Lonchura striata: one gene and its partner. The protein of the gene in region 2 purifies or fractionates together with the protein of the main gene of each other region. This does not show direct contact. Links are inferred from orthologs where the notes say so. Each region holds a gene or a part of one and is shown on either strand. Other genes may lie near its edges. The genes, in order: LYRM7 and UQCRFS1.

Region 1 (11,357 bases), on a different chromosome or scaffold from region 2:
GAGGATAAGCTGCAGCACCCTTGCTAGCTTTGCTAAGCCATTAAGAGAAGTCTAATACTTGTTTGCATGATTCCTGTATCAGAAATAAATAGAATTGCTCAAGTGAGATGTTTCAGGAGACACGCTCACACTAGGAAGTGGCACATATCAACAGAAGTGGATCTTTGCAAAGTCTAGAGCTCAGTGCTTGCCATCTACACTGCACTTCTCATGCTCCTCCCTTGTAAGAGCTTCGAGCAGGTACCCTCCAGTTCCTCCTGCTGAAGGCACCCAGGCTGCATGCTCCTGCAGCACAGCTTCCTCTTCAGGTTGACCTTAAGGGAATTCTGCTTGTTTGTCTGACATTTTACATAGCAAGACAAATCACAGGTGCATTAGATTCAGCTATCATATTTCTCATTCTCATACCTGATCTCCTTATGTCACCAAGCTTGACATGTACAAGTACATATAGATACAAGTACTTGTTGTCATGTTAGAATGCACTCGTAGTTTTCTATTCTGGCTGGTCAATACTCCATTTTTAGTTGCTGTCCAAAGCAGAACACTAACAGCACCACATTAATGCAAGCAAGTGCTCAAACTTCCTCAAGTCCTATATAAAACTTCATTCAGTTCCTCTGCAACCAAGTCCAATCAGTGTGTACATGTAATAAACATCTGTGATGTCCTAGGAGTGTGTAGCTGGAATGGAAGTCTAGTATTCCTTTCACCAACACAGTTAATCAAATATCAACTAATCCATATTAAAAAGCCACATATGTGAAATTTGCAGGTTGCCTAGAAAACAAATAGAGATTTCAGAATTGCATCAAATATTTTTCCTGTACATCTATTAAAAAAAACAACCTTGAACTCATAACTTAGCTGATCAGACAGTGGTAACACAAGCAATGAGTATTACTACAGGAGACTGATAACAAGCTGAAATTAGGAACTCCTAACTAAATTGTCAGAATTATTTACATTACTGTTCAGTGGCTGATATCAGGAAATGTTTTAATTTTATTTCTTCAAGGGACACACATAGGCACTTTCTTCCAACCAGTGCCCAGTGACAATGTAAATACACTCTGATAAAAGGCTGATGACAAGGACTAAATTGATCACTCTGTAGCGATGTTAATAACTAAAATTATCTAAATACAGAAGTTCTGTTTCAGTTTACAGTAACTTTTAGAAAAAAATTACTCAGCAAGAAGTGTTGAGGCAACAATTATGCAAAGGTAATGAACTTAGTGAATTAACAGAATGCTTTACTTTTAATGCATGATGAGGAAAGAAGAAGCAAAAAATCCCTGTATTATAATTAATATATACTACAGCTATACTATACTACAATTAATCCTAATAATGTTGCTGTTTTTTGCCTTCCACAAAGATGCTGAGTCATTTGTGATCTGTTAGTAACTGAGCAGAGTAATTTCTCTGTTTGTTTCTGTTTACCTAAACAACAGTGAGCAGGTAAATTTAAGTGACCACACTGCAGATAGGTAGTATGAGCAAAGCATAGAATATTTACATAACAACTGCAACTTTAAATATTTTCTCATATAATTCTATTATAAACTTCAAAAAAATCACACTGAACTATCAGAACACACTTTCTACTTATGTATTTTTGTATGTACAAAATTCTGTAAGACAGTATCAATACCATTGTAAAGACAGTATTAATACATTATATGTTTATGAACAAAGATCCATGTAGAAGTCTTTCTAAACCAATCCAGCTTTTATGATGTCTCAATGTGTGTACAGTGGTTTAGAGATCCTTTAAGTAAAAAACAAATTTCTAAATATTCTTACAAGCAAGAGAAAGCAATAAAATACCTCATTAATCTTCTCTTCAGATGCCTCGTCTCGGTTATTTCTGAATTCTTCATTTATCTTTTGTCTTGCTGCTAAATAAAGTAAACAAAAAACCAAAGTATGAACAAAAATTTTATTTTGAATTTGTCACTGCCCCAAAGTTAAGAATCTTAAGCTCTTTATGGCACATTCCTGGGGCACTCTGATCAAAGTATTTCAATGTAAGATCTCCATGTAATTCACATGATGTCACATTTTAAGTTGACTGATATACAAATGAAATAAGATTCCAAATTTAGCATTCTGTACTGCATACACAAGGTCTAAAAAAAGCAGGATTCATTCCGTGAGGAAAAACCATACATAGAGAATTAATTAGTACAGCTAACCATGCTGTGGCTGGACTGAAGAGAAGTTAAAAACACAAAAGACATCTATCTCCCAGGAAGATCAGGAACATTTGAAAAAGATATGTTACTCTTCCAAAATATGTGGGTGCTTGAATTTAAGAACCATTTTTCTGTTTCAAATTAAAGAATATCTGGTTAGGGACATACAAGTTTTCCTAATTATTACTTGAAAATTATGGGAGTAACTTGAAGAAAGATTATGTTAAGAATTATCCTTCTCTGTACTCCAAGAAGAAAGTTCCACAAAATATAGGTATGCACACACCCCACAAAACAAGTATCTCACCTTCGAGGGCTTTGTTATCATTTTTAAAAACTTCTTGCCGTGTTCTGTGTAACAACTTAAAAAGCTTCAAAACCTGCCAATACAACATCAATATAATTAACTTATTTGCTAGCAGGAGTGTTAGTTAAAATGAAAATATTTCGGTTGAAATTTCTTGTTACTTCCATTCAGTACAGAATTTGATACAGAATCAATATCTAAGAGGCTTTACCTAAATTTCTCATTGAAACACTTGCAGCCAAAGCAGATGTGATGTCATCAAAATCTTAGACAGGTCTAGGTATTTCAAATTGCCCTAAGATGCTGGCACCACAATCCTAAGTAATTATTTGGCAGGATGGGAATACAATCCTGAAATTACATGGACACGAGCATTATTTATTGTGCCAATGTCAAATACACCCAGAAGAACTGGAATAACTCTAAAAGCCAAGTTACCTGAAGGAATTATCAAGGTTACAACAGTGCATATTCTCTAGCTATTGAAAGAAGACAGAAAAAGAAACAACTGAAGTATGCTCACATAAAAATCTTCTGCAAGTGGTGCAGCAGAACCAATGCAAAGTCCTTTTCTTAAATGCAACTGCCAGGTCAGGAAATGAACACTTCAGTAAAAGCAAACACCCAAAGTTAGGATTTACAGTGTACAGAAGACACCCCTGAACACGTATGAAAAGCAAACCCCCGGAGAATCACAGCTCACAGTCTTGTGGTTTTGATCATTCATACAGACTGCAATGAATCACAGAAATGCTCAAACCCTTATGAGACCTTTTTGGTGTTTGCCAGACTGAAAAGTCTCTGACAAACACCAGAGAAACATAATCTTGATAACAACATGCCTTTTGAAGCTCCTTCCAGTACTTCCTACCATTTTGGCATCTCTAGAGGGCACAATTCTAGGCACTTCATAATAATCTCAAATTGTTCTCTCACAATTAGTATTCCAAATATTTTTCAGAAGGACATAGAGGAAACACAGGGCTGTAACCCAGCAAATGAACAGAGCCATGTTGCTTTAACTGCACCATTCCCTAGATGGATGAACCTGTGGAAAGTAAACTCACAGAATTAAAACACAACAAAGGTTTTACAGGTATTTTAATATCCTAAAATTTTGCTGCCCCACAGTGTATTTGGCATCTTTGTAAATAGCCAAGTAATATTACAAGTGGTTTTATGTTAAACACACATGTATGTTAAAACTTTAAGTTTTTTTATTGCTATTTTGAACAATCTGATGAGCCATTTCCAGGCATCCTCCTACCCTTACAGCAGCCTACAGCTTCCTCACAAGGGGAGGAGGAGGAGCAAGCACCAATTTTACCTCTGGTATGCAGTGACAGGATCCAAGCAAATGGCCTGAAGTTGTGTCAGGGGACACTGATGCCACTCAGGGGAAGGTTCTTCACCCTGAGGGTGACCAGGGAAGTGGCCACAGCCTAGCAGAGCTCAGGAAACTTTTCACCACACCGGCCACAGTGGTGAAAAGCTGTATGAGATGGTTTTGATCAAGACGCATTAATGCAGACACCTCTGACCTGTACAGCCACTTGCTTTCACAGAGGGCCCCACCAACACCTGCTGACTGTACACCAAAACCAGGGAAATTACACCCTAGCAATGGAAGGCCTTATTAATTCTTAGCTCCTTGTTCTTCCCTATCTTACCCTCACGAGACGTGCTCTTGATGCATTTTAATCTGCCTATCGCATCTTCTCGCTTGCTTTTCCCGCAACGGCCTTTGCGTGCAAACCGCTACTTTCTTTTACCTAGTTTTTTATCCTTCTTATCCTGAAAGTCTGTGTCTTGTGGCTCTACAAAAGCTACACAGCTGCGACCCCCCCCCCCCAAGCACAGAATACGTGTGTATGAGTGTGTATATGTGTTTATGTGTGTGTTTATATGTGTTTATGTGTGAGTGTCACTCGCCTGCCCGCGGCTCCCCATGGCTCCCGCCGCCGGAAGTGTCGCACCGGAAGTGCCCCTCCGGGACGAGCCGCACCCTCCCGCGCTGCCGCCGGTGCCTCCGCCAATGCTGTCCCCCCCGGGGGCTGCCCGCCGCCGCCGTTCCGGGCAGCCTGAGTTCCGCCGCCCCGCCGCCGCGGGGCTGGCGCGGCTTTCACGGGCTCACGGCACGGAATTCCAGCTCTGCCTGGAACGGACCACAGTGGCGCATCGGGTCCAGCGTCCCTGCCCAAAGCCAAAGCACATGGCACACGACTGTATCCAGGCGGTTCCATCCCCACTGGGGAAGACTTCGCCACTTTCCTGGACAATCTGCTGCTGTGCCCGCTCGCCCGCACAGTGAACAAGTTCAGAATTTCTTCCTCGTGTTCACAGAAACTTCCTGTGCATCGCTTGCTGCCCACTGCCCCTCGTCCTGTTGCTGGGCATCACTGAGAAGAGCCTGGATCCCTCCTCTGACGCCTTTCCTTCAGATTTCTGAAGATAGAGTGATGAGGTTCCCCAAAGGCGATAAATAAAGGGTCATTTACTCTAACATAGCCCACTAACAGATTAACGTATTTTGCATTTTGTCCCATTTTCCACACGTGGCTTTAACTATTCTTTAGAGGCCCAGCTCCCACAACCTCTCCTCGAAAGAGAGATGCTCCAGTCCCATCTCCGCTGCCTCCACTGGACCCACTCCAGGAGCTCCATGTCTCTCCTTGTCCTGAGGAGCCCAGAACTGGACACAGAACTCCAGATGTGCCTCACCAGGGCTGAGCAGAGGGTCAGGATCACCTCCCTCAACCTGCTGGCAGTGCTCTTCCTAACGCACCCCAGGATCCCATTGGCCTTCTTGGCTGTAGTGAAAAATGCCGATCACTTGGTTTTTAAAATTTCTAAAAGTTTAATAATAATAAAATGATTATAAAATAATAATACAATTAGCGTAATAAAATTTAGAGTTAGGACAATTACAAGACAATAAAAAGCAAAGAATTAGGGATGTCCGGGTGTTCTCAGACACTAAGTCACGAAAAGCATGACTTGTGAACAAAGGAATAGCCTTAAAAGCAATAGCCTGTTGCATATGCATATATCTCATACATGATACATCAATTCCTTGCAAATTAATTCTGGTTTTTGTCAACTTCTTCTCCTTAATCCTGGTGGTTCCAAAAAGTTGGAGAGTAGGTGGAAGAATGTTTGTCTTTTCTGATAAGAAGGCAGTAACTTTTCATGGGCCCCCTTCACTGCCATCTCTGTGTGAAGAGTTTCTTGATTATCTCATCTTCCTGCTTGAGCTTGTAACAAATTCTATATCACAGAATTTCTATTTTAACAGTATGATGTAATCTAAAACTACATTTAACACACTACTTTAGAGAATTAACACAGCATAACTTTCTAACATTAAACATATAATATTCATTGTAACATTTGCAAAAAGCCAATCATAAAATATGAATTTTTCACACATCAGTTTCTGTGAGATATCTAGAATGGCCAATAAATGATGATATTTGCTGCTTCTTCAAATCAGTTTTTATTTTGCCAGACTGTTTCCTTGCTCTTGCAGTTAGATCAGCCAACGGCAGTTTGGAATCCTTCCTTATCTGGGATGCCACCTTCTTTCCCAGACTATTTTTTCACCACTTCAGAAGAAAAGTTGTGGTTACAATTCCTTGTTTCTGTGCTTATCAGTAGTATCTCAGGACCTCTCCAGTCTCTAGGTATTAAACTGCACTTAGAAAAGGCTGCGCTTTTCAAGGACATTTTTAGTTCCCAGGATCACAGCTGCCAAGCTGGCAGGCTTTTTTTCTGCTGGTGTTATCCAACAGGTTTTTTTTTTTTTTGGGTTTTTTTTTTTTTTTTTTTTTTTTTTTTTTTTTTTTTTTTTTTTTTTTTTTTTTTTTTGTTCAGTCATTTCTCCTCTCTAGTCAGGTCACTTTCTTGGCTGCTCACACCAAGTTCCCCACAGCCCTGGCTTGCCTTACTCACACCCTGACCAACCCAGCCTTGGCCTGGCCACATCATGGCCATATCTATAAACCTGAATTGCCATTCTCTTGAAAACCAAACAAGCTTCTAGTTCACTAACACATCGTTCAGCATTAGCTAAAGGCAGCATAAGGATTTTCTGTGTAAGCAGCTTTACTGGTCACTACACCTCTAGCTTCAATACAGCCCATTTAATTGTTTAACTGCAATTACATTGTAAGCTAATTGAACTATGGGAACACTAAACTTTTACTCAATAATTTAAATATTTTTATTATTAATACTTACTTGTAAGCATCTATTAAATACTTATTTTTACTATGTAACTCCTAAAGAAATTTGATCTGTTAGCAGAAGTGATGCTTATTTATAATTTAGTTGCACAAATAATTATTGCAGATGTGAATGAATGAATGAGACCCTTTGAAAAGAGGATCTAATTAATTAATTGTTTTATTCAAAATAATATAAAAGTTGCTGTTTACATGGTGAGACAAAAATATATGCTGAAGTTAACTATATGAAAAAAGATGTTTTTGCTTTTTAGAGAAACTTCTAAACTTGTCTCTTTATGTCTTCTCTTAACATAGAAATATACTTTCTAACTAACTCCACAGCAGCGTTTGCCCAAATTAATAATATATTTGCTGGATAACCTTGGTTAGACAACAATATAATTCAAAGAAATTTGTCCCTGAAGTACTTATTTTAATTGTTATAAAGCTCCACTATCATCTATAGGACATATACATGTCAAAATATATTAATCCAGAACATCATTAAGGAAGAGAATAAAAATTCATTGTCTAATGTGCTTTACCAGAGTTTTTTTTTTCAGGGTATTTAATGATAAACTATTTCAGAGTTACAGAAACATATGACAAATTCTGCTCTTTTTCTAACATGTTCAGGTAATCCGCTGAGGAAACCATATTAGGTTAATGCACTCTAGCAGTACTGATTCCCTGACTCTCTCCAAAATGCTTTCCTGTAACATTTTAGTCTAGAGACAAATATATAAAAATGTCTCTATTAATATCCTCCTAGATAAATCCTCAGGAAAATCAATGTATTTTATTTGTAAAGCTTAGAAAATCATAGAATCTGGAATGGTCTGGGTTGGAAAGGACATTAAAGGTTATCTAGTTCCAATGCCCCTATGATGGGCAGGGACACCTTTCACTAGACCAGGTTGCTCAGAACTCCATCCTGCCTGGCCTTGAACAATTCCAGGGACTGAGCACCCACAACTTCTCTGGGCAGCCTGTTCAGTGTTTCACCATGCTCACAGTAAATAATTTCTTCCTCACATCCAATTTAAACCTCCAATCTTGCAGTGTCAAGCCATTCCTCTATGTTCTGTCACTACATACCCTTGTAAAAAAACCTTCCTCCATTTTTCTTGTAGGGTGCTTCAGGTACTGCAAAGCTGCAATTAGGTCATCCTGAAGTCTTTTCAAGGGTGAGCAATTCCAATTCTCTCAACTGTTCTCATAGAAAAGGTGCTCTGTCACTCTGATCATTTTTGTGGCCTCCTCTGGACTCACTCCAGCAGTTCCATGTCCTCCCTGTGCTGGGACCCCAGGGCTGATGCAGGGTTCCGGGTGGGCTCTCAGCAGAGCAGAGCAGAGGGGCAGAATCCCCTCCCTCCCCTGCTGCCCACGCTGCTCTGGATACAGCCCAGGACACGTTTGGCTTTCTGGGCTGGGAGTGCCCATGGCTGGGTCATGTCCAGCCTCCCACCCATGAGCATCTCCAAAGCCTCCCAAGGTCTGTTCTCAATCTCCCAGCCTGCGCTGACAGCAGGGGTGACCCCGGTGCAGGACCTCGTACTTGGCCTTGTTAAACTGCATGAAAATGAAGCTTCCTTGTTACTCTTCAAGTTTTGTGTTGGTTTTTAACCCCTGCTTTTTAATTTCTTCTATTTAATGACTGATGTCGTAGATATATTAAAAAAGCATTTACAACTAGATGTATAGCTGTGTAACTTCGTGCTGCCCTCTGTGAATTATTGCTTGGCCATATTGATTGGTTTGTTTTATGCTTACGAAATCACTTATGTGCAGAAGGGCTGGCAAGTCAAACTGCCCCTCTGCAGGACCGCGATTCCAGGGGCACCAAACACCTGCAAACTCTGGTGGAAAAGCTAACGCAGCCCAGCCTGGTGCAGTCTGCAGGAGCTCGTCCCAAGAAATCACACAGATATTTCATTTGGATTTGATAAGCAGTAATTCTGCCCACAACAGCCTCTCCCGGGACTACGCTGCCACTGCAGATCACCTTTCCTTGATCCCTGCGCGCAGCCGGCCATGGCTCCTCCCCATGGATCCCTCCGCGGTTCCCGGGTCAGCGAGGGCGCGCCAGCGCGGTGGGCGGGACCAGCGGGACAATGACAGGCGAAACCGCCAATCAGACGGGCGGGCACGGCCAGCCGCCGGCGCTGGCCCAATGAGCGCCGGGGGGCGTGGCCGCGGGGGAAGGCGGGGCTGAGCGCCGGCGGGAGCCGCCGCCATGGCTGACGAGATCAGCAAGGCGCAGGCGGCGCGGCCCGGCGGGGACACCATCTTCGGGAAGATCATCCGCAAGGAGATCCCCGCCAACATCATCTTCGAGGACGAGCAGGTGCGGGCTGTGCGGGGGCCGGGGGCGCCGCGGAGGCGCTCGGGAGCGCGGCGGGGCGGGCGGTGCGGCTTCCCTGCACCGTCCCTGGAGCTGCATCCGGCTCCTTGCCAAGGGTCGCGGGTTCTCGCAGCTGCTGTGGGAGGGTACTCGTGAAACCTTTACCACTTCCAGGCAGCCTTCTTGCGGCTTCCGAGCAGAGCACCCGGCTTGTGCAGGTCCCGATGTGCCTCTTTTACAAAGATGATGCAGCTCTGCCTGCTGGGCTTTGGCAGTGAACCTCGAGAGCGATTGCTGGTGCATCACTGCATGTTCGGGCCGAAACGAAATCATTTAGATGAAATGCAGTGGACATTCCCAAAATGTAAACTAACTCGTACTTCGTATAAGATCTCCTGCACTTTCCCCCCCCCGTATTTACAGGGGCCTTTGCTTTTGAAATAAGGGATTATTCTCAGTGTACAATACAGACTCTCTAGGATGCAGTTTGTCAGATTTATGTGCTTAAAAATCATGCATAGCTTGAAACTGTTTCCTTAATAGATGGCAGATTGTTACAGTTGCCATATGCTCTGAAGAATATTGAAAATGTTGCCTGCTTTCCTAAAGTCATGCCTTTGTTACTGCTCTGTGTTTATGTGAGGGTGTGTGATCTTTCTTTACGGGAGTCAAACATCTGTGAGTTTTTCCTCAGCTGCGGTGGTTGCAGCAGAGTAAGCTGGGTACTGTTTGATTTAGGAATCAGGCCATTGACTTCGCTGAGCCCACTTTGGCAGCTATTTGTGTAGCTGGTGTATTTCTGGAAAAGTCATTACCTACAGTACATCACTTGGTTTTTACTTCAAAGTGCACAGAAATGTAGAATTTCTAGGTTTCAGTTGATTGGTGGGCGATCTTGAATTAACATTGTTGACTTTATGGAGGTCTTTTTAGAGGTGGCTGGAAGTGCTAAAAGGAGAAGGGTAAGGAAGGCCTTTAATCAATAATTGACCTTCAGAGAAACGGAAATACTGAAAAGTGCAAAGTCTCTGTAGAATTATGCCTTATCACCATCTAAACTTCCTGAAATGAGGTTTGGTTTCCCATGCACTCATGAATTTCTGTGATTGTGCTTTTCCCTTATTGCTACTTCTGCTTTCTGTACCATTGAAAACTATTTACTTCCAATCTTTTGCTCTTTAAATTCTTGGATGCAGTTTGGTCATTTGCATTCTTCCTCTCTGGGACTATATATAATAGGAAAGCTGCTTGTAAAATGGCCAGCTCTAAGTATGATTTATTTAAAGGGGTGCAATTAGTTTTATTCATCAGTTATACACTTATAGCCCTTCCCTGTTTGGAAGAAATGATCAGTTCATCAGAAATTCAAAAGTGGGCATTACCTTCTTAAAGATACTTTAAAATCAGATAGATTTGATATATAAAATATAAGCTGCATAAAAGATTGATGCACGTTGAGTTTGGGCTTTTCACCAACTTTACTGTTGACAAAACCACATTTCTTCTCATATTAAAAAAAGCAGTATTGTTGCAAAGATTAACTTCATTGATTCACAAAGAAAAGTATCTAGGAAATAAGCATTTTGAAGAATCTAGGTGTGTGTTTTTAAGTATCCACTGTCTGTGACAAAACCAGTCACTACCAGCTGTTACTCTGTTGAACGTGATGGGTAAGTCAGATTGCTGCAGAGTGCCTCCTGTGCACATTTGTGAAGGTTCCAGTTGCAAATCCCAGTCCTGTGGTTGGCCATTTGTACAAAGAGACACAGCTTCATTTTCCCTGATTTGATATTTAGGTGATGCATGCAGTGTAAGGTTGGTTGTAATTTTGGTATTTAGTCAAGATTCAGCTAGTCACTACAGACAGATATTTGTATTTCAAAAGTGATACCTTTCTCTCAATTTGAGAATGTCTGAAGCAAAGTTGGTGTTAATGCATTACTCTGAAATACTTTGTGCTTTTGAGAACAGATGTTTAATATGGCCTCAATCACATAACATCAGGATCTACTATCTAATAGATTGCTAATACAAAGATCAGCAAGTATTGCCTTGCTGTCTTTGACCAAGGAAATATTCAGACGTAACCAGAAGATGATTAGTAACTCTTTGCCATTTATTTTATTAAACATGGTGTTAATAAAAAAAAAAGTAAATGTAAATGTACCTTTTATAGGCATGCATGCCAACAACCCTACTAGTTGTTATGCATATGTTGCATTAATATATCTTGAACCTGATTGCATATTGCTTTGCTGAGAAGTCTGTAGCTTTTAAAC
Region 2 (11,395 bases):
ATTCACCCAAATTTTATCAGTTTTGTCTGACCTCTCAGTTACTGCTGTTTTTCTAAGTTGCTAGATATGTGGAAAATAAAATCTCCCTTTTAAGACACAAACCCCTAAGGCAGGGTAATGTTAAATAGAGTTCTGGTTGACATTTCCCAGTTATTGCCCTTGTTCTTCATGCCATGGTCTCTAGAACCTTCCAGACTCTGGCCATCCCTGGGGATGCCTCTGAGTCAGCGGCAGAACTGGGAGTTAATGGAATGTTGCACCATGGCTCAAGTGTCCACTGTAACCACCCACCTACCCCTGGCTCCTTGGCAGTCATGAAGGGCTCCTCTGGGTGGGCTTTACGAGATCCAAGTCAGAATCTGTGTCTTTATGCAGGATTGGCTTTAACTTCACCTGCCTGAACCTTTCTTTACTTGTCCCTTTGCTTCAGCTACAGCAGCTTTATGCTGTCTAGATCCATTTGAAGAGAGGGAGAGAGCAATCTTTTCTTTTCATGAAGCACAAAGAAAATTGTACTTCAGAAATATCTGCATGCACAAAGGATGTCAGTTGTTCACCAAACAGGCTGCACACAATGGTTTTCAATTTTTACTGACTGCTACTTGCTAGATTGTGACAGTCACTGAAATGAATGACAACCTCTATTGTGAAAGTGGTATCAGACAGAACTCTCCCTCACTATATCCACAGAACAGTATTATGTCAGACCACACTGTAGTCTCTGGTTAATACTGTTTAATTGTAGCAATCTGATTTTTTTACTAGTTTATTGTGAGTAAGCTTTTATTATTTGCATCTTGAAAATTCTTTCAGACTTTTCTGTAGTTTCTGAGGATTTTAGTTTTTATTCTACAACTGAGGGAGCACATCAGTGCAGTGCAGAAGTATTTTCATACCAGTGGTAAAGAACGGGAAGGAAACACAAAGTACAGGATTACTGGTGTCTTTTGGCTTTGTTCTAGAAATAGCAAACCTTGTTTCTCCTCCTGTTCTGCATGCAGTGAAACACCAGCTCTATGCTATATTGGCAGGAACAATGCTGGCTGAAACATCTCTTTGTGGCTTTGTAGCTCAATGCCTTGAATCAGCAGCCCTTCAGAAGGGCTCTGTGTTCTGGGTCTGCTGTAGCATCTCCTTGGCTGGACACACTAGAAATGTGTACATAAAGAAAGACACTTTATTTTAAGTCAGGAACAAGTGCTCACTCCAAGTTTTTATTGAAATCAAACAGAGTATTCAAGCATAGTTCTGCTTGAGAATCTAGATAGCTAATTTCAGGTTTTACAGTATGCCTCAGTTAACCCTTCTGGTGAACATTATTCCCAGGAACATGGAAGTGAGCAGGCACCTCGTCTCTCAGCCGACCACCACCGTGTCATCCCCAATGAACTGGTAAACTGGGACCTCGAGGTTTAGGGGAGCAGGGCCTTTCCTGATCCTGCCAGAGGCGTCATAGTGGGAGCCGTGGCAGGGGCAGTAGTACCCGCCAAAATCCCCGGCGTTGGCGATGGGGACGCAGCCCAGGTGAGTGCACACGCCCACCAGGATCACCCACTCGGGCTTCTTCACTCTGTCTAAGTCGTGCTGCGGATCCCTCAGTTGAGACACATCAACTCCAGCCTCCTGACTAATTTCTGCCTGGGTTCTGTGACGCACAAAAAGGGGCTTCCCTCTCCACTTGAAAGCCATGTTCTTGCCTTCTGGAATGTCAGACAGCTTGATCTCAATCTTTGACAAGGCCAGCACGTCAGCAGAGGCACTCAGGCTGGAAATAAACTGGGTGACAACATTCTTGGCAACGTAGGCAGTTGCCACACCTGTCGCTGCAGTCATCAGGTAGGAGAAGCCTTTCCTGGAGTTGCTGCTGCCTTGGGAAGAGGCGCTGGCATCCTGCACGTCCTGGCGGCGGTAGGCAGAGAAGTCGGGCACCGTGACATCGTTGTGGACACAGCGCACGCCAGCGGGGGCTGCATGGAAAAGGACAGCAGGTGACACCACGTCCAGGTAAAACACTGGCATGCATTTGAAATTATACTGTTTTAGTGGCAGGTTTGGAATAATGGGTAAAAGTTATTCCAAAGTCTGGGTAGGATTCCATTAATTAAGCATTTTAATTTTATGTTGTATGAAGATGGTTTTCAAAGAGAATTTTTGGTACACCAAAGGTGATCTGTGAAACTGGTTTCCTATTCTTTGAAAAAGAAACCTGATCAGGGTGCAGAAAATCTGTCAGAAGTTCTGGGCTTCTGGGAAAAAAAGTGAACTGTTTTTTCAGTAAATGTCAAGAAAATGCTCCAGTAGGATACCATGACTAGAAAAGACAGACCTGTTTTCTATTCAAATGTTTCTTGTAAAGAGCTACTAAGAAGAAATCTGATGTAGTGAAGTTTGCACATCTGCAGTGTAATTTTTGTTCTATTATTTGTCTGAAGTAACTTCTACGCCTGCAATAATATTAAGTGTGTGGTTAAGCATTTTTATCATTAAAAATACCAGGCAACCTCTTTTATATTAAATTGTTGTCCCAGCTAAAAGCCACAGGAAATAATTTTACACCTCCAGACCCCAGGCTCGCTTTTTAAAAGATTTAGGGCTAACTGTTCTATTTCAAGTGGGATTCCCCCATCAAACCCGTGTGCTCAAATAACAGGATATGAAGGATAACTAAAAGGTCTCCCATGCGTTTCTCCAGCAAAAGAAAGCTGTGTCCTCCACTGAAAATCTATAAGCCAAAGAAAAGAACATGGCAAAGACAGAACAAATTACTTGCCAAAGTACAACCTGTTACTTGAAGAGTATTATTTAGTCTTTATATTTTCTGTCAGTTGGCACAAAGTTAACAGATGTCTCAAAGTACTTAAGCTCTCAGGGATTTATATGCAGTACAATGAGGATAATAACTATATTTACTTAGAAGAAACTCAGCATTGAGAAAGTAATTGCTATAGGCTTTTAACTGCAAAGAAATTAAACCAAAAATCAAAATTCTGAGATAGTGCTCCATATTAAGTTATTTCAGTATAGACTTAAAGCAATAGTAACATGTAATATGACTAACTTCTAAAAAGTCTGCTATACTCAGTGAAAAGCATGTTTGATGTTAATTAAAATGTAGAGCACAGCTAAATGTCAGCCATGTCAGTTCCAGATTTGTAGAATTTTCACCTGAACAAACCCTTTACAGCTGAGGGTCAGATGAAGTACAGTCTAATTGCTACAGAGCATCTTCAGCACGGCACTGCCCTCCCAGAATTAAACGTGTGCACTCTGCACCAGCTGAGGTAGAACATTCCATCAGAGACAGCTGCAGAGCTGGGCAGCAGCTGCACTGAGAGTTACAGAGCTGGGCAGCAGCCCTCCAGGAGCTGCAGTGAGAGCAGCACAGCTGGGCAGCAGCCCTCCAAGAGCTGCAGTGAGAGCTGCACAGCTGGGCAGCAGCCCTCCAGGAGCTGCAGTGAGAGCTGCACAGCTGGGCAGCAGCCCTCCAGGAGCTGCAGTGAGAGCTGCACAGCTGGGCAGCAGCCCTCCAGGAGCTGCAGTGAGAGCTGCACAGCTGGGCAGCAGCCCTCCAGGAGCTGCAGTGAGAGCAGCACAGCTGGGCAGCAGCCCTCCAGGAGCTGCAGTGAGAGCTGCACAGCTGGGCAGCAGCCCTCCAGGAGCTGCAGTGAGAGCTGCACAGCTGGGCAGCAGCCCTCCAGGAGCTGCAGTGCCAGCCACAGCCCTTCGGGCAGAGGTCGGGCTCTGAAGAACACCTCGGCGTTACTCCCTGGCCGATGCTTTCCCCACCTGGGTAAAACACACGGTGTGCTCTCACTGCACCCCTCTGTTCCTGTGTCCGCGTATAAAAGCCTTCCCGAATGACAGGATTTAGCTGCATTTCCTCAGCAGTAAAATAAAAATCACTGAGCTGTCCCCCTCAATATCCCTGGATACCCCGGGGACATCCCGACCCGCCCGGACACAGTGCTGTGCTCGGGGCTGACCCTACTTGGGCAGAGGTGACACACTGCGGTCCCTGCAGCCTGCCCCGCTCAGTCATTGAAGGAAGCTGGCATTCAGGTGCCCTTGAACGAGCTCTGCAGCTGTAAGTGGGTGCCAATTACACCGGTGACAACAGAACCAAGCATTTAAGAACCCCGATCGGCCCCAGCCCCCGCAGCCCGCCCGCCTGCTGTCCCCTCCCGGCTCGGCTCCCCCGCCCGCCGGGCCGGGCCGGGCCGGGCGGTGCCCGGGAGCGCCGGCAGGGCCCCGCTGAGCCCGCGGCAGTCCCGGTGCCGCTCCGGCCCGCCCCGCCGCTCCCCCGGCCCGCACCGTTCAGGCTGGCGCTGGCGACGAGACCCCCGCGGGCGGCGCGGCCGCTCAGGGACTCCCGGCAGAGCAGAGGCCGCTTCACGTCCAGCGGCACCTTGTGGTCCCGGTGCGCGGCGGCCGGGGCGAGCGGGCGGAGCGGGCCGGGCACGGCGTGCGCGGCGGCGGACACGAAGGGCGCGAACGGCCCGGCGCGGGCGGCCACGGACAGCATGGCGGCGTCCCCGCGGCGACCTTCCAGCCGGCGCGGCCCCGGCGTCACCGCGGGCTCGCGCGGCGTGACGTCACGCGCCGGCGCGCGGCGGTGACGCAGGCGCGGAGCGGGGCGCCCTGAGGGGAGCGGGCGCAATACAGCGCTGCCTAGCCTTGTTGCCTCGGTGTTTTTTTATTTTTATTTTTATTTTTTCCCCTTTCCCCCACCTTTTACCCCTTCTATTTTTCTTTTTTTTCCAGTCTCCTCGGGGTGTTCCGTGCGGCCGTGTGCCGCAGCCCTGTCCCCGCGGTGCTGCCGGGTTAAATGGCAGCGGGACCTTGCAGGAGGGGTTCGTGAGGCGCTCTGGACACGCCGGGCTCCCGCGCCTCTCCTGCGGGACAGGACCCTGCTAAACACAGCAACGCGACCCCAGGGCGCCTTGGAGGGCTTAACGTGGGTTTTGCCTGCTATTCTTAGGGTGTGATTTTGAGCTGTGTGGTAACAATACTTAGAACTGTGTCGCTCCTAGGATAATACCTGCTCTTTGTTACTCTATTTATTTTGCACTGCGTGATTTTTGGTCCTTTTTGTTTCTTTTTTTCCTCTTTTCCTTAGTTTACTAATTTAATTTTTTTTTTCTTGGTAGTCCTGGACCAGTTTCAAATAGGGGCAAAACCTAATTTTTTTACTTTGTCATAAATTGGTTGAGGGTTAGGTTTTACTTACAGTTTGAGGATGCAAAGTGTGTTTGACAACAACCACATCCACTCTAGGGGCTGTTCTGGGGCTGGGGGTTAATTGCAAGGGGACAGTAAATATTTCACATAAATACTTCATATAGATATAACTCTTTGGGCTAAAGGAGAGAACCACTCTTCCACTAATGACTGGAGCAAATATCTGTTGAGTTTTTTTGTAGTTACTTTTAATTATGGAATTTTTTTCCCCTTAAATTTATTTTACTTAATAATAGCAGTTTTATGCTCGGCTTGTTATGGCTTCCAATGGTAAGATTTAGTTTGGTATAGGTGAACACACTGGTGGATGCCTACCTGCTCCAGTCAACCATTTTAACCAGTTCAAGCTCCTGAAAATCCCCCAAAATGCAGGATAAACTTGACACAGAGATATGTTTGAAAAAATTTAGGCTGAACCATCCTCTAGAAACCTAACAACAATTTCCCAGCTACTCAGCTGTGAAGCTTTAGTGGTTTATACTGGCTGTATGGAGAACTATTCTTTTGAAATTCAGATCTTGCTAATGATATTGCTGCTAAATTATTTTATGATTGTGCATTAAAACCTCCCCCATCTTTGTAGAATGGTAGTTTAAGGACTGACCTTATTAAGATTTATTTAAGGGGTTGATTTTTTCATTTTCTTTTTAACTGTTAACTGTACTGAAATATGGTAGCTCTAATTAAGTGGGATGGATCATTTCAGTCCCAGTACTATTGATCTATAATTTATTTCTTTCCCAGCACGTTTGTGACATCTAAGCCTCAGTAGATAATGATTTACCCAACTCAGTTCACTGTACTGTTGGTAACTGTAGTCACTGGTGATGCAGTAATTAAAGGACACCACAATAATATTCTTGAGCAAAAGTAATTTGTATAAACTCTGGGGGCTATCAGTCAATATATGGGTGGGAATAAACTATCCAGGTAGAGAGGGTAGAAAATGGGAAGGCCATTTTAACAGCACACGTTTTATAATCATAATTTAGGAGAAAAGGAGCTACAGAGGTGTGATATTTTCAATTACCTAACAGATTATAAAATTATTATCATGGAATCAGAATGTGCTGAATTGGAAGGGACCCATCAGGATCAGCAAGCCCAACTCCTGCTCCTGCCCAGGACAGCCCCAGAGTCTCACTCACTGTGTGCCTCGGGGTTGTCCAAACACTTGTTGAGCTCAGCCAGCCTTGGAGCTGTGCCACCACCCTGAGGAGCCTGTTCCAGTGCCCTGCCACACTTTGGGCTGCCCACTTTTTCCTGCTCTCCAATCTAAACCTCCCTTGAGTCAGCTCCCAGCCATTTCCTCAAGTCCTCTCTCTGGTCCTGAGAGTGAAAAGAGCTGTTCCTGCCCTTCTGCTTCTCCCTGTGAGACCACAACGAGCTCCCATGAAAGATCTGATCCCAGCTGAACAAGTGCTGGTAGAGCTAAAGGAGACATTTTGTGGTTCACCATGAAAGTGAGGATTTCAGCTAATATTTATAGAAGGGTTTGTTAACAAGTGTGGCATTTGGGGGTTTTTGTTGGGGTTTTTTTTGGGTGGAATTTTTTTAAGGATTCTGAGTTTTGGCAATGATGCAAGTTTTGAGTTTGCTAACCTGGCTCAGCTGTTTGGCAGATATGGCCTCATCCCAAACAGTATATTATTCTGACTGGGGGGGGGGGGGGGGCATTCTCAGAGATGTTGGCAAAATGTGCTTGCTACTTGTGGAGCTTTTTGACAAAATGAGGTACTGTGATGGAACAGTAGTTACAGGACAAGGAGAAATGGGCATGAATTGAAAGAGGGGAAATACAGGTTAGATACCAGGAAGAAATTCCCTATTGTGAGAATGGTGAGACACCAAAAGAGGTTTTCCAGGGAGTCTGTGGATGCTTCAAGCCTTGAAATGTCCAAGGCCAGGCTGGAAGGAGCTTGGAGCAACCTGGTCTAGTGGGAGGTGTCCCTGACCATGGCAGGGGAGGATGGGACAAGGTCATCTTTAAGATCCTTTCCAATTCCTTAATGTTCATTCTATGATTATTTGGGAAAGAATGGTTGTAGATTTTTTAAAGACTTAAATCTGAATTCAAATTCCAGTGTGGTTAGAACAGAAATAAAATATTAAAATATTGCAGCAAAAAGGAACTACATTCTGATATCAGAGCTCAAAAAAATAATAATTATAAAATGACTAAGCAAATTCTGGTGTGTAGGTGTTTCTTTGGGAAGTGTTGTTCACCTTGTATTACTGAGCATCAGTACTGAGCATTTTCCAGCCAAACATGAAAGTAAAATGCCAGCATGACATTGTGTAAATCATCCAAACAGATCTCTGTGATTGTTTTTGTGCATTCGTACAAGCATTAGCCTCATGTAAATTTATGCTGCTTAATGTTCTGTCCTCCTAAAGTTAAAAGTTCATTTGCATGAATACAAAAGCTATAAGATGTCAGGGCTGCAGCATTATGAAGTAGATGAAAAGTATGGTAATGCTTTTGGGTATGTGCAGTGCCTTTCTCCATGTAGAATTCATTCTCATGTTTGTTTTCCTTAGAGATAAACTGCAGAACTTGGATGGCTTTTTGCTAAAATGTTGGTCACCCCAGGGAATTTGATCTCACCAGAAAGTTATCTTTGAGTTCTTTGCCATCTTGCATCATTTTTATGTCCTGAAAACTCAGTGCTACTAAACTTGAGAATTCAGGGTTTACGTTTACTTCTTGGATTTGAATTGTTGATCAATTTTTTTTCTCTGTGAATAAACTTCTTCAGAAATAAAAAAACCAGAGAGAACAAACAAACCACCAAACTGTACCTGTGGAGCATTGTTAGTGGAGCAGTCATTATGCATCATCTGTTTAGATAAGTACACCCTACTCTGAGAGCATCTCCAAATGTCTGCAGTGGTTCCTTTGCAGAATTAATATCCATTGCAATGATTTTAGTCTTGTGGTGTGGCACTGTGGAAGTGGCATATAAATCTGAAGATAGATTTATGTATGCAATACAGTTTGTTTAAGGTTAAAATTATGGAGACCCTTTAATAGTTAGACTTTCTTTGAATGTTCTTTGAAGTTGGTCTATTGCTTTGAAAAGTCACAGGGTGTGATCTAAAGGAATATATATGAAATGTGAGGAATGAAAATGGACAGTAAAAATGAGGAAAAAAAATCTAGGAATATTTGATTGGTCAAACATTTCTTTCCTGCTATTCAAGTTAGTTGAAATGATGACACCTCTGTGCAACAGTCTAATCTAAATTCAGGTCTTTTTCAGTCAAGGAAAAACTAAGTTCAAGTATCATGAGGGAAGAAGAGATCTGCTGTCAGCTTTTTACTACTCTTTCTATGAATGCAGGGGTGATCAGCAGGTGTTCACAGCCTCAGCAGCCATCTTATTGTAGATCTCTTACAGCCCTGCTCAATAAGGCCAAGATAAATTGCCTGGAGTAGAAGGGTATTGAATATCTGTTTCTGACAGACTTGCACTCAACATTTTGTGTATAAAATACTCAAATAAGAGATACACACAAAGAAAGTATACTTCTCTAATCTGCATTATAAAAAATCTCAAAGCAAGCACGTGAAGCATTCCCTTGGGCAGAAAGAATGGGATTTTCTGAGTCAGTTTTAGAGAGGAAAGAAAAAAAATTGAAGGAAATAAAATTAAAAAGACCAAGCCTAAAATCTAAGATTACATCAAAGATTTACATAATTGTAGAATGGGCAAAAAGAGTCACAAATATGTGAAATTGATAAGAGCTGCTCACGCAAATCAGAAATGGCACCAAAAGGTGTCTGACCAAGCAGAAGCCAAAGGCTAGATGAGAACTGCCTGGGGCAGCATCAAAGGCAGCTCAGCAAGGCAGCAGCTAAAGCCTAAATGAAATTGCCTGGAGCATCATCAAAATGTCAGTTTCAGGGAGAGTATTTTCACCCTTCCTCTTGTTTTCTCCCTTACATTTCATGAAAAATCCCTGACATTTCTTGAAGGGCATGTGTTTGACTCCTATCTGGCTTCCACTATTATATATTGTTTGCTTTTATGGTTCCTGGAGATGGAAACAAAACTTTTCAACTTTATGACCATCTCTGACTAAAATCTGAAAGGCTGAACAAAGGAGAATCCTGGCTTCTTTTGCTTTGCTTATGTATTTCTTGCAATGAATGCATTTGGAGAATTCCATTTGTGTCTGGTGCCCAGCTGACAATGTTTGTGGGCTGGGAAAAAGAAATTCTCCCCTTAGCTGTGCATAGGAAGGGATTAGGAGTTACTGCCACTTCCCAGTGTGCTGAATGTCTCTGCCCTGCCTTTGGTTGCTGAAACCCCAAGTGTTGTTTAAAGCTTTAGCTGTACATGCTGTAAAAACTCACTCTTCTGAGATTGATAGCAAACCTCTCACAGTTGCGCAGTTAAGCACAAAGCTTACAGAAATAGAATATTTGTAATGTTTCAGAGGACCATAAATTATTGTTTTTTTTTCAAAATAACCAACTTCCTAGGACTACAAAGCAGAAGTAGGGCGGTGAATAGTAGCACCAGAGCTAAGCTTGCTGCTTGATGCAAAGCAAAATCTCACCTGCTACTGTGTGTGTAGATATGCCCCTATGAAACCTCAGTGAAGTGGCAGAAAAAGGAGGGTGACATTTAAGAAGTGACAAAGGAAATAATTTTGTCTCAATTTTATGGTGTACAGTGAAGATCTTGACCGTTGTTATGCCCTCCTGTAAGCTTTTCTGTGAAGCAAGGTTGCAGAACCTTGGCTTCAAACTGCCTTTAAACCAGCATAAAGCAGATAATGGCAAAAGAAGAACTCGTTTGTAATTCTTGGAGCTGTTGGCAATCCAGAGCCACGCCATTAAGAGCTAATGCAATGAAAGTGTCCCCTTGTCATAACTTTCTCCCTTTCCTCCCCCTCGGAATTGCTGTGAAGAGGCTTTGCCTGTAGCCTTTGCCTGTCTCGATGCTGCAGTTGAAAGGTAGGAGCTGATTCTCCAAGAGCCTGTGACGTTGCAGTGTGCGTTCCTGCATCACTCTGAGCTGCATTGCTGCAGGGGACAACAGCAGTTCAAAAACACTGTGCTGACATCAGAGCTGGGCCTGCTCACACACTGCAGCTTGAGCCCTGGGTGTGATAAGGGTAACCTGTGCTTGCATTGAGCTAATTAATTGCCCACTGTCATCATCACCTAAATACTCTTAAGGCTATTTTTAAACACCTACTTTGACAGTAGCTTGTGGAAACTTGCCTATAATGCAAAAGATTTTTTTTATCATCTTTTTTTTTTTTTAATGTGGAACCTTTATTTTCTGTTCTTTTATATATAAGAATAAATAAAAGCCTTTTCCTCTCTTTTTTGCTTAGTTATGAGAATAATTATGCTACTGAGGCTGCTCCTAATGGCTCCCAGTGGAGTTACTCCAAGTTTTTAGATTGGTTATATTTCATATTTTCATACTTTTAGTGACCCTTGGTGCAAGAAGTAGACATATACTAATGAAATCTGCTGAGGCAGACTTACAAAGCGTTCTTTACTGAGGGAGAAATCAGAATAAAATATGGAAAGAATCAGAAAACTTTTTTAAAGTTAGGATGAAACTTAGTATTATGAAATTCAAGAATGTTTAAAGATTCACACCAAATGTTTCTATTACAAATTACAGATTTTTCATCCAAAGTGATAGGAGAAGAAAGAAGATCTAGATATGTGGTGGGTGATCAAAGTATAATGATGCACTGTGTGTGTTAAATAGGTAGGGGGATACTGGGGTTTTCAATATGAGATTTTCAGCAGGAAATAGTAATTTTGTCATACAAAGCCCCTGCCCATCTAAGTAGAAAGTTCTTCCTGAGTCACTCAATGTGTAAACGTTTTTCTCAATTTGCCCAAATTAACTTTTCCAAACAGTTGTGTGTATCTCTCTGTGGGTCAATCTCAGGGATGTCAGGTGATAATCTTGGTTCTTTCAAATTGCTGTGGAATGCTTGTTCAGTTAAATAAACAACTAATCTGAACTTAGCAGTGCAGTCTAGAGCAAATGCACTGATTTCAGTTATTGAAACACATATCCCTGTGTATTTAGCAAAGGAAGTTGATGGGAATGAAAATGCAGATTATGGTTTAAAGCTCATTCAGAGGAAATAGCTAATTGCGGAGGGTTTTTACTTT

The links.
Region 1: the proteins of UQCRFS1 (region 2) and LYRM7 purify together in Homo sapiens (co-immunoprecipitation; 5 studies listed by BioGRID and IntAct, with this or other methods). This does not show direct contact. The link is inferred for Lonchura striata from reciprocal best matches to the Homo sapiens genes UQCRFS1 and LYRM7.

Annotation. Positions count from the first base shown.
Region 1 is NC_134642.1:7,052,954-7,064,310, reverse strand, and holds the start of LYRM7 (complex III assembly factor LYRM7), read right to left. Parts: upstream 4,494-11,357; 5' UTR 4,459-4,493; coding exon 4,441-4,458; intron 4,423-4,440; exon of another isoform or gene 4,179-4,422; intron 3,114-4,178; exon of another isoform or gene 3,032-3,113; intron 2,860-3,031; exon of another isoform or gene 2,843-2,859; intron 2,582-2,842; coding exon 2,509-2,581; intron 1,905-2,508; coding exon 1,834-1,904; intron 1-1,833. Other genes in the region: adenosine 5'-monophosphoramidase HINT1, read left to right, coding at 8,971-9,081.
Region 2 is NC_134615.1:9,624,340-9,635,734, reverse strand, and holds UQCRFS1 (cytochrome b-c1 complex subunit Rieske, mitochondrial), read right to left. Parts: upstream 4,561-11,395; 5' UTR 4,523-4,560; coding exon 4,312-4,522; intron 1,968-4,311; coding exon 1,357-1,967; 3' UTR 1,194-1,356; downstream 1-1,193.